3 linked regions of the Oryctolagus cuniculus genome follow. The protein of the gene in region 1 interacts with the protein of each later gene in a pairwise test. Links are inferred from orthologs where the notes say so. Each region holds a gene or a part of one and is shown in the gene's direction. Other genes may lie near its edges.

Region 1 (3,647 bases):
TGTCTTCCTGCACTGTCGATGTGCGTGCCGCGATGGTTTTCCCAGCCCCACACTCCTGGAACGGCCCTGGCTGGTCTCGGTTTCCTCTTCTTCCCCTGCGTCCCTGGGCCTCAGACCATCCCAGCGTCAGCGCCAGGGCTGACATCTCGGGGCCATGTTCCGAAATGTTCGCAGCTCTTGGTGTGCTGAGTGGTTTTGGCTTACATGCCGGCTGTCGGCCGTGACCTATGATAAGGTTCTAGGTTTCGTTTACAACGTAAGGGAAGTGTTGATGCTCTCATTTTAGCCAGCAGTCCACCTGCCTGGGTTCAGGCCACCACTTCAGCGCTCAGCCTGTGGGCCACAGAATCATTTCTGTGTTCAAGGCCTGCGTGCCAGACGTGCGCTGCTGGGGCTCCGTCTGGGGCCTGGGATCTTAGGTCCCCTCACGGGTCTCTGTGTGTAGCCTGAGGAGGTGGGTTGCTGGGCCCCTGGCCCTCTGTTCCCTACCGGGGCCTCCCTGGGTCCTGTGGGTGGAAGCCGGGGGAGAGAGCCCCGCTGTCCCACGTGTCTTGCGTGAGTGCCCTGCTCCCGAGTATCAGGAATCCGCACTGTGGCCCCACAGCCCAGCTGGAGGCTCCCCTGCCCACCTCGCCCTCTCCCAGCTGCCCACCTCGCCCTCTCCCAGCTGCCCCATCTCGCCCTCTCCCAGCTGCCCACCTCGCCCTCTCCCACCTGCCAACCTCGCCCTCTCCCACCTGCCCACCTCGCTCTCTCCCCAGCTGCCCACCTCGCCCTCTCCCACCTGCCCCATCTCGCTCTCTCCCAGCTGCCCACCTCGCCCTCTCCCACCTGCCCCATCTCGCTCTCTCCCAGCTGCCCACCTCGCCCTCTCCCACCTGCCCCATCTCGCTCTCTCCCAGCTGCCCACCTCGCCCTCTCCCAGCTGCCCACCTCGCCCTCTCCCAGCTGCCCACCTTGCTCTCTCCCACCTGCCCACCTCGCCCTCTCCCAGCTGCCCACCTTGCTCTCTCCCACCTGCCCACCTCGCCCTCTCCCACCTGCCCCCCTCGCCCTCTCCCACCTGCCCACCTCGCCCTCTCCCACCTGCCCACCTCGCCCTCTCCCACCTGCCCCCCCTTGCCCTCTCCCACCTGCCCACCTCGCCCTTTCCCACCTGCCCACCTCGCCCTCTCCCAGCTGCCCCATCTCGCCCTCTCCCAGCTGCCCACCTCGCCCTCTCCCACCTGCCCACCTCGCTCTCTCCCACCTGCCCACCTCGCCCTCTCCCACCTGCCCACCTCGCTCTCTCCCAGCTGCTCCCCGCCCCCACCTCAGGCGCACTCTCCGCCTGAGCTCTGGTTCAGCACCTGCTGTCGGGCGAACCTGTGGGTTCAGCCAGTCCCAGCAGGTGGGTCACCCTGCTGTGCCCTCAGGCAACAGCTTGTGTGGCGGCCCGGGCCACCTGCCGGCCCTGGTTGGGACTTCTGAAGAGCTAAGCCTCCAGCTGTGGGACTGGCGCTTCGAGCAGAGCTGCCTGCCCTGTGACAGCGGCCGCAGTAGCTGTGATCCTGCCCAGGGTGCCCTGGGGGAGTAACTTGGAGAGAGCAGAGTATGGCTCCGCCGGGAGGGCCAAGCTCCTCTGCACCCTGGCTGGCACCAGGGCGGGTGTGGGGCTGCCACCTTCCAGGTCTGACTGCAGAGCCCATGGCCGCGTCACCATTGCCTCCAGATCGCGATCAGCTGGACGGGGCAGGGTGCCGGAGCAGCCGGGCCCTGGCAAACATCTCGGCAGCGCCCGCCCTGGCCGGCTGGGGGCACTTGGGGTGCCACCTCAGCGCAGGCCACAGCCCCGAGTGCTGCCCACGGGGCTGGCATCAGCGCCTTCCCAGGCCTACCCGCAGCTGCGGGAGGCAGCTCCCAGAGGAGAGCAGTGAGGGGCCGGCAGGTAGCACACAGGGTCCTGACAGCGCCGCAGGTGCGATCCCAAGGTGCCCTGTCCTGGAGCCCAGGTGGGCCAGTCGCTGCTTCCCGGGGGACACAGCAGCCAGCAGCCTGCCCCTTGCTGGAGGGGAAGACAGAGACAGACCCCCACGGGCCACCGAGACACGGAGGGCAGAGCCTGTCTCTCCAGGTCGGTCTCAGGGCTGTCGCCTGGCACTGCAGGGGCGGGCGCCCTTTGGCCACGTGGTGCCTTCAGACCCTTGCGGCAGGCACTGGGCCCCCGCTGCCTCGGCTCGGCTGGGCTCCAGGGTCGGCCCATGCCCTGCGAGTGTTCTAGTGTCCCTGGGTCAGAGTCCTTGGGGCGGGGGGGGGGGGGGGGGGGGAGGCGGCCACAGCCCCTGCTGTGAAGGCTGGGGGAGGGGTGAGCCCGGGACTCTGAGCAGGGTGTGGGTGGGAGGAGGGCGTGGCCTGGCCTGAGCTGGGCTACCGGGAGGGGGCTGGGTAGGGAGGCGAACCTTGGGAGCACAGGGTGAGCTGAGGCCCCCCGCCCCGCGCCCCCCAGGTGAGCGCCAACGGCAACGTGCTGCGCAGCGAGATCGTGGGCTCCATCAAGATGCGCGTCTTCCTCTCGGGCATGCCCGAGCTGCGCCTGGGCCTCAACGACAAGGTCCTCTTCGACAACACGGGCCGTGAGTAGCCGGCCGCGCTGGGCGGGGGCCTCAGACACCCAGGGTGCAGTTCCCGTCCCTCGGGGCTCTGCTTCTGCCCTCTCCTGGGGCTCTGGGTCCGCACTGGGTGAGGGCCACACACGGGTTCCCGTTCTCGCAGGCTGGCTGGTGCTCCCAGGGTGGGGCAGGGGACGCAGGGGCTCAGCCTGGGGTGGCGCAGGCCTTCTCCGGACTGCGGCCGTGCCCAGGCCTGCCCAGCAGCTCTGCCTGCTCTGGGCGAGCAGAGCCTGACCCACGTTGCCATGTGTGGAGTACAAAGCTGAGAGAGGACCCAGGCCCCAGTGGCGGGGCGCGAGCCCTCGGGGACCCCCACGCTTCACGCAGCCAGGTCTGAGAGTCACTCAGCAGACACATTCCATCCAAGCAGCTCCCCTGTCTGGGCCCTGGGCTGCCTGCTGGAGACTCCGGTGAGCTGGGCCGCCACCGGGAGGAGGCTTGGAACCCGCGTGCCCCGTGCTCTGCAGCTCGGGACACTCTCCCAGGGGCGGCCTGGGCCACAGGAGCCCACACACAGGGCACACAGTGCACACACACACATAGCACACACACACACACCTGTCCCCTGCAGGACGATCTCTCAGGGGCAGCCTGGGGCCACAGGAGCCCGCACACAGGGCACACACACACACACAGTGCACACACCTGTCCCCTGCAGGACGCTCTCTCAAGGGCAGCCTGGGCCACAGGAGCCTGCACACAGGGCACACACACACACACAGTGCACACACGCAGAGTGCACACACACAGTGCACATACACACACACACCTGTCCCCTGCAGGACGCTCTCTCAGGGGCAGCCTGGGCCACAGGAGCCCGCACACAGGGCACACACACACACACAGTGCACGCACACAGGGCACACACACACACAGTGCACACACACAGTGCACGTACACAGAGTGCACACACACAGTGCACGTACACACACACACCTGTCCCCCACAGGATGCTCTCACAGGGGCGGCCTGGGCCACAGGAGCCTGCACACAGGGCAC
Region 2 (3,747 bases), on another chromosome or scaffold:
AACCAACGGCAAAAGGAAGACCTTTTTCTCTGTCTCTCTCTCTCACTGTCCATTCTGCCTGTCAAAAAAAAAAAAAAAATTAATACCAACCTGATGTACAACCTTAGGGGATCGCTTCAGAGAAGAGAGGTGCCATCCACACAAGGGCAGAAAACACCACGGAGAAAGAAATGTGCTCATTGTTTCAGGACTTTTTTTTAGCATAATCTTGGTGAGTGAGGGGCAGGCACCCGGGGCTGCGGGAAGACCACGTGATTGGCCTGCATCCACTGCTGGAGGGTCTGGGTTCAAGTCCTGCTCAGCTCCAGCCCCGGCTTCCTGCTGGCCGGCAGCCGTGATGGTGCCAAGAACCTGGTCCCTGCCACCCACCTGGGAGACCTGGATGGCGCTCCAGGCCCCCGGCCTCAGCCTGGAACAACCCTGGCTTTTGAGGGCATTGAGGGAGTGAACCAGCCAGTCTGTCCCTCTCTCTCTTGCTCTCTCTCACACTACCTTTCAAATAAATTTAAAAATTCAATTAAAAAAACTTTTTAAAGAAAATCAAACCATATCATCAAGCCTAAAAGAACCTTCCCCAAAATATTGGAAGTGATTATCTCAGGGAAGTGAGATTGAAGGTGAACTTTTATCTTCGCTTTGGTTACCAGTGGGTTTTCCCTGCTCTGCAATGCAATTTTTATTTTTTTTATTTGAAAGGCAGAGAGGCCTCCCATCTCCCTGGTTCTCTCCTGGGCTGCAGCCGGACCAGGCAGAAGCCAGGAGCCGGGCATCCAGGTGGGCGGCGGGGACCCGGTGCAGGACCACCCCCTGCGGCCTCCTGGGCGAGCGGCGTTTGAAAGCGGGATGAGCAGACAGTATCTAGCAGGAGCAGATGCACGGTGTGCCGCAGTCAGGAACGGGGTGGCCGCCGCCACTAGTACGCAGCTGCGTGGCTTTTCCAAGACCTCGGCGGAGACAGCGCCGCGGCCTCGCAGAAGTGCCTGCCCGCAGGCTCCGCCCCCTTCCCTGCACTCGCACCCGCCCCTCCCCGGGCCCCTCCCCTGCCCGCGTCGTACCCTTGATCCCGCCCCCCGGCCGTGCGTCCACCGGAAGTGCCCGCGCGCGGGCAGCTCACTTCCGCCCGGCAGGTGACAGCCGCGGGGCTCGGAGCAGCCGGCGGCACGGACGCACCGGCAGGGTGGGAGGAGGAGCAGGAGGCCGCGGACATTTTGCTGCCGAGCCGAACCGAGCCGTGGCTCCAGGAGCCGTTCGGACTTGCCGGTGAGGAAGCAGGGGGCGCCGCGAGGTAGCAGAAGGAGCGGCGTGGGGGCGTCGGGGGGTCTGAGGTGAGGGGTTTGTGGGGGTCAGAGGTCACGGGGAGGACGCGGCGCCGTGGGCGCGCGGCGGCGTCCCGGGGCCGGACGGGGCGGAAGGACTCGGGTTCATTCATTCGCGCCCGCTTGGCCGCCGGCCCGGACCGCGGGCGCCCCGTGTCCGTAGGCGCTCTCGGGGCGCCCGCCCGGAGACTCCCGGACCTTAGGCCCCGAGACTCCCGTCTCTGGCCGGGTGGGGGAAGCTCCTCTGCGGGCTCTGGTTTCCCTTTTCACCGTTACCCCCGTGGTCATCCCGAGGCCTCGTCGGCGTCCAGGGCCGAGGTTCAGAAAGGAAAAATTAAAGTTAGAAAAGAAAAAACCAGCCTTGTGCCGCCCGGGTGGACTTGGGCTTGGTCTGTCCGTTGGCGCTCCGGGGACGAGTGGACGGCATGGGGACGTCTGAAAACAATGCTAAGAGATACTGAGGACCCCCTGCTGAGTCTTGAGCTCCTACTGTGTGTGCGCAGCTGTGCCGAGCGCTTTACGTACAGTGCACATCGAGTCCTTTGCCAGGGCGCTGGTGTTTCGTCCCCCTTTTATCCAGGGAGGTCAGATCACGCATGGAAGGCCAGTTGGGCAGGAGGGGCAGAGCCAGGGTTCCTGCTTAGGCGTTCGGGGCCTCAAAGTACAGAGACCATGGAGAGAGGGGCGCCGTGATCGGGCGTGAGGGGCTGGTTCATATTTTTAGGGGCGTGGGTCAGGGTCAAGACGTGCCCTTATTGCCTGATCTTTCCTAAGGGGCATTTGGTTTGCTTTCTTCACCGTGAGGCAGCCGGGCAGGCTGTTGTAAGTGATCTTGCAGGGGCACGCGTTGAAGGTTTTCCTGACTGTTGGGAACTGTGAGACCCCGAACGGGTTATCCGTGAAGCCGATGGTTCGGATCTCTTGAGAAGTAGCTCAAGAACTGCTTTCCTTTTGGAATAAAGAGGGCACCCAGATGACCATCAGGGGGTCTTGGGTGTGGAAGCGTGTACCCAGAGGGAAGTCTTCGCCCCTCTGAGAAGTGTGCAGAGCCCACGTGGTCCTGCCTGGGAGAGGAGACGCTTGGTGGCCGAGGGTCAGGCTCTGTGTCTGAGCTTTCTTCCAGATAGTGACCACTGCACTTCCGCCTCAGTTTCCCAGACAGCAGCGTGAGAAAGACCTGCTGCCTTCCTACCCTCTCCTGGTGTCTTTTTTTTTTTTTTTTTAAGATTTATTTTAGGAGCTGACACTGTGGCGTACTGGGTAAAGCCGCTTCCTGTACTACCGGCATTCCATGTGAGTGCTAGTTTGAGTTTTGGCCGCACCATTTCTGATCCAGCTCTCTGCTATGGCCTGAGAAAGAAGTGGAAGATGGCCCAAGTCCTTGGACCCTTGCAACCTGTGTGGGAGACCCGGAAGAAGCTCCTGGCTGTTGTGGCCATTTGGGGAGAGAACCAGCGGATGGAAGACTTCTCACTTGCACTCTTTCTCTGCCTCTGCCTTTCAAATAAATAATTTGAAAGGCACAGTTACAGAGAGAGGGAGAAAGAGAGATCTTCCATCTACTAGCTCACTCCCCAGATGGCCACAGTGGTCAGGGTTGGGCCAGGCCGAAGCTAGGAGCCAGAGTCCTCTTCCGGGTTTCCCACGTGGGTGCAGAGGCCCAAGGACTTGGGCCATCCTCCGATGCTTTCCTAGGCACAAGAGCCGGGAGCTGGATCAGAAGTGGAGCAGCAGGGACTCGAACCAGCACTCATATGGAATACCAGCTTGCGGGCTGCAGCTTCACCCGCTACGCCACAGTGCTGGCCCCTCTTAGGTGTCTTAACCGTTAATCTCCCTGTGCGGTGTCCACCTGCTTTTGAAGAAAGCTCTGATAGAGGGCTGGCGCCGTGGTTCACTTGGTTAATCCTCCACCTGTGGCGCCGGCATCCCATATGGCGCTGGGTTCTAGTCCCGGTTGCTCCTCTTTCAGTCCAGCTCTCTGCTGTGGCCTGGGACGGCAGTGGAGGACGGCCCAAGTGCTTGGGCCCTGCACCCGCATGGGAGACTGGGAGGAAGCTACTGGCTTCGGATCGGCATAGCTCCGGCCGTAGTGGCCATTTTGGGGGTGAACCAACGGAAGGAAGACCTTTCTCTCTGTCTAACTCTGTCAAAAAAAAAAAAAAAAGCTCTGATAGAAATGTTAGGGTAGTACTGGTATTCTCTTTAACTCTATGATCTGTTCTCCTAGTGCCACTGACTTCACAGAAACTTAATATTGTCACCTTATCCTCCTCCTTCCAAGGGAAGAATCGGGATAAAGTGACTTGTCACAGAAGGCGGGAACATGAGAGAGCACAGGTCATCTGTGCCCTGAGTTGAGCTCTCACCGCTCAGATGGCGTGAGGACCGGCTCCACTGGGTCTCAGGGTTGCCGAGTGTGAGAGTTGGG
Region 3 (3,458 bases), on another chromosome or scaffold:
GCAGCAGGTGCTGGCTCCAGTACTTGGGTTCCTATCACCCATGTGAGAGACCTGGATGAATTTCCTGGCTTCTAGCTTTGGCCTGGTCCAGCCCCAGTTGTTGCAGGCATTTGGGGATTGAACCAGCAAATGGAAGATTGAAAGATTTTCTCTCTTTATCTACCTTTCAAGTAAATAAAAATAAATAAAATTTTTAAAAATAAGAAAAAAATAAAGATAAAAACTAGAAAGCAGTTAAGTAACAGAGAAAGAGGGAGAGACAGAGGGTAAGAGAGATCTTCATCTGCTAGTTCACTCCCCAAATGCTCACAACACTGGGGGCTAGGTCAGGCCATAACTGCTGTCCCTCATAGTGTGCATTAGCAGGAAGCTAGAATCGGAAGTAGAGCCAGGACTCAAACCTAGGTACTCTGATATGGGATATGGGCATCCCTAGCAGCATCTTAACTCCTGTACAAAACATATACCCTACAGTCCTCTTTCTGCCAGACCTTATGTTAATAAAATGACAAGTGATCCTTCTATCCACAAATATTCATGAGGCCAGTGTTGTAGCACAGCTGGTTAAGTCCCTGGCCATGGTACCTGCATCTCATATGAATGCCAGTTCAAATCCTGGATGCTCCACTTCCCATCCAGTTATCTGCTAACACTCCTGGGAAAGCAATGGAAGATGGTCCAAATGTTGGGCCCCTGCACCCATGTGGGAGACCCAGATGGAATTCCAGACTCTTGGCTTCAGCCTGACCCAGCCCTGCTTGTTGCGGCCATTTGGGAAGTGAGCCAACAGATGGAAGATCTCTCCCTTATTGTCTCTCCCTCTCTCTGTGACTCTGCCTTTCACACAAGTAAACACATCTTTTAAAAATCGATGCATTTAAATTTAGACAATATATTTTCTTCCTCTAGTGAAATAAGAAAATTCACTCTCTCTTGAAGCAAGAGAGGCATTTTCCCTCAAGTTAAAATATGTAAAATCCTTAGAACAGTACATGGTACATAGTAAGTGTTTACAATTATTACTATCCTGGGAATGTATCCATTGGCTACATCAGATATCGGAATACTATTGGATTAAAGGATTTGTGAAATTATTAAGTGTATGTAATAATAATAAAACCATGGGCCAGCATTATGGCACAGTGATCCAGGATGTCTGTGATACTGGCATCCCATGTCAGAGTACCAGTTTAAGTCCCTGCTGCTTTGCCTTCTATCCAAGTCCCTGCTAATGTACCTGGAAAGGTGGCAGATAATGGCTCAAGTGCTTGGGCCCTGTCCACCCATGTGGGAGACCAGGATGGAGTTCCTGGCTCCTGGCTTCAGCCTAGCCCAAACCTGACAGTTGGTGGTCATTTAGGGAGTGAACCAGTGGATGAAAGGTTTCTCTCTCTGTTTCCCTACCTTTCAAATAAATAAATAAACCTTTTAAAAATAAATAAAACCATTATAGCCATTATTTAGAGAATGGTGATGTTTAATATTTTTGTGACTGGGGTCAGCATTGTGGTATAATGGGTAAAGCTGCCACCTGTGATACCAGCATCCTATATGGGCTCCAGTTTGAGTCGCAGGTGCTCCATTTCTGATCCTGCTCCCTGCTAATGCACCTGGGAAAAGAATGGAAGGCGGCCTAAATGCTTGGGCCCCTGCACCCACATGGGAGACCCAGAAGAAGCTCCTGGCCCCTGGCTTCAGTCTAGCCCTGCCCTGGCTGTTGCGGCCATTTGGAGAGTGAACTAGCAGATGGAAGATCTCTCTTCCTTTCTCAGACTTCCAAATAAATAAAATAAATCTTTAAAAAATATATTTCTGTGGCATACATTTATCACCAAGCCTATGATCTTTCTCTAATAATTAGATATTAATTTGAATTTAATGCATGGCTTTGAGCATCTTAAGTTTGTGAACCGAATGAGACCTATAACTCAAACTTTGCTTTTGAAAAGTCATTTTTTACCGCTATCTAAATTTCTGCACAGATCCACCAGGCCTGCAAACTAATCTGCAGAAAATGTAAACGCCACGTGACTGATGTAACAGGACACGTGGTGCAGGAAGGCACGCGGCGCTACAGGCTGTGTAACGAGTGCCTCGCGGAGGTCGGCATCGACAGCCTCCCGGTCGATCTGGAAGCTGAGCAGCATCTTCTGTCCTCATCCGATGCAGAGAAGGAGTCCAGGTGGCGCTTGGGTGAAGACGAGAACAGATCCTACGTGGAGATTGTGGAGGACGGGTCGGCTGATCTGGTCATCCAGCAGGTTGATGACAGTGAAGAAGAAGAAGAAAAGGAAAGAAAGCCCAACATTAGGTAGCCATAAGGGGAACCAGCAGAGCTTGGCATGTGTGCATCTTCATTGCCTCCGTGTGTCTCTTTCCATGGTCAGAGTCTGGTTAGCAAGTTTATTACTGACTTAAAAGGAATGACCTGATGTAACCTGCATGCTTTCTGAACAGGCCATTGTATCCATTCTGAGCTTGGTTGCCCTGTAATACGTTGCTGCACTGGAAAGAAAGACCTAGCTTGAGTTGGCATGATGGGTGGATGATTATCCTCTTACTTTTACTGTAATCCTTTTACATATGCGGAGACACCTTTTTTCTTTTATTATTGGAAGATCTACTTAGCAAACTTTTTTTCAAAGAAAATATTTTAAATAAATTTATCATAACTGAACTTCATGTAAGACAATTCCAAAAATATATATACCATCAATACTGAATTCCGCAGGGAACCAGGTAAGAGCACATTTAAGGGCCTGGCAACCCATCTGCCTGAACTAATATGTTTTCCTATTAACTTCAGATCTGAAACAATATAGCATTATTCCAGTGTCCTAAATGTTTTAGATTATGGCAGAAGAGTAATCTAAGATGTTCAAAATTGTGCGTATTTGAAATTTTTGTCATTAAGTTTAAAATTGCTCTGATGTAGACAGAATTATTAAAAAAAAAAAAAAACAAAACAAAAGTAAGGTTGGCCAAGCATTGTATACACGTTACTTTGCTTAAATCAAGAAATCAATACTGACTTTGAAAAGTCCCTGTGGTTTGTGAAAACCTGTCAAGATATTTCCCTACCTCTCTAGAGAAAAAAAAAAACAAAACTAGAGATCCTTACTAGTCCCCAAGTGTAGTTTCTGACACATGTGTAGTGCTCTATTATTTATAAAGTACTCTCTCATGTTTTATTCACTGATCGGTGAGGTAGACATCATCTCCGATTTACAAATGAGAAATTAATGTCCAAAACTTTAAGTGCTAGAATTGATAATTAGACACATTCTAGGGTTTTTTTTGTGTGTGTTTTGAGGTTTGTTTGTTTGTTTTTAGATTTATTTATTGATTTGGAAGGCAGAGTTACTGAGAGAGGGAGAGACATACAAAGATCTTCCATCCTCTGGTTCACTCCCCAAATGGCCATAATGGCCAAGACTGGGCCAGGCCAAAGTCAGGAG

Evidence for each region.
Region 2: the proteins of AP1M1 (region 1) and AP1B1 interact in a two-hybrid assay, tested with the Homo sapiens proteins (2 studies listed by BioGRID, with this or other methods). The link is inferred for Oryctolagus cuniculus from reciprocal best matches to the Homo sapiens genes AP1M1 and AP1B1.
Region 3: the proteins of AP1M1 (region 1) and ZBTB8A interact in binary tests that used the Homo sapiens proteins (3 or more experiments, as listed by UniProt). The two-hybrid records come from large-scale screens. The link is inferred for Oryctolagus cuniculus from reciprocal best matches to the Homo sapiens genes AP1M1 and ZBTB8A.

Annotation. Positions count from the first base shown.
Region 1 is NC_091447.1:64,739,820-64,743,466, forward strand, and holds part of AP1M1 (AP-1 complex subunit mu-1), read left to right. Parts: intron 1-2,485; coding exon 2,486-2,612; intron 2,613-3,647. UniProt on the Homo sapiens protein: Subunit of clathrin-associated adaptor protein complex 1 that plays a role in protein sorting in the trans-Golgi network (TGN) and endosomes.
Region 2 is NC_091452.1:22,804,769-22,808,515, reverse strand, and holds the start of AP1B1 (AP-1 complex subunit beta-1), read left to right. Parts: upstream 1-1,083; 5' UTR 1,084-1,260; intron 1,261-3,747. UniProt on the Homo sapiens protein: Subunit of clathrin-associated adaptor protein complex 1 that plays a role in protein sorting in the late-Golgi/trans-Golgi network (TGN) and/or endosomes.
Region 3 is NC_091438.1:139,928,596-139,932,053, reverse strand, and holds part of ZBTB8A (zinc finger and BTB domain-containing protein 8A), read left to right. Parts: intron 1-1,982; coding exon 1,983-2,315; 3' UTR 2,316-3,458. UniProt on the Homo sapiens protein: May be involved in transcriptional regulation.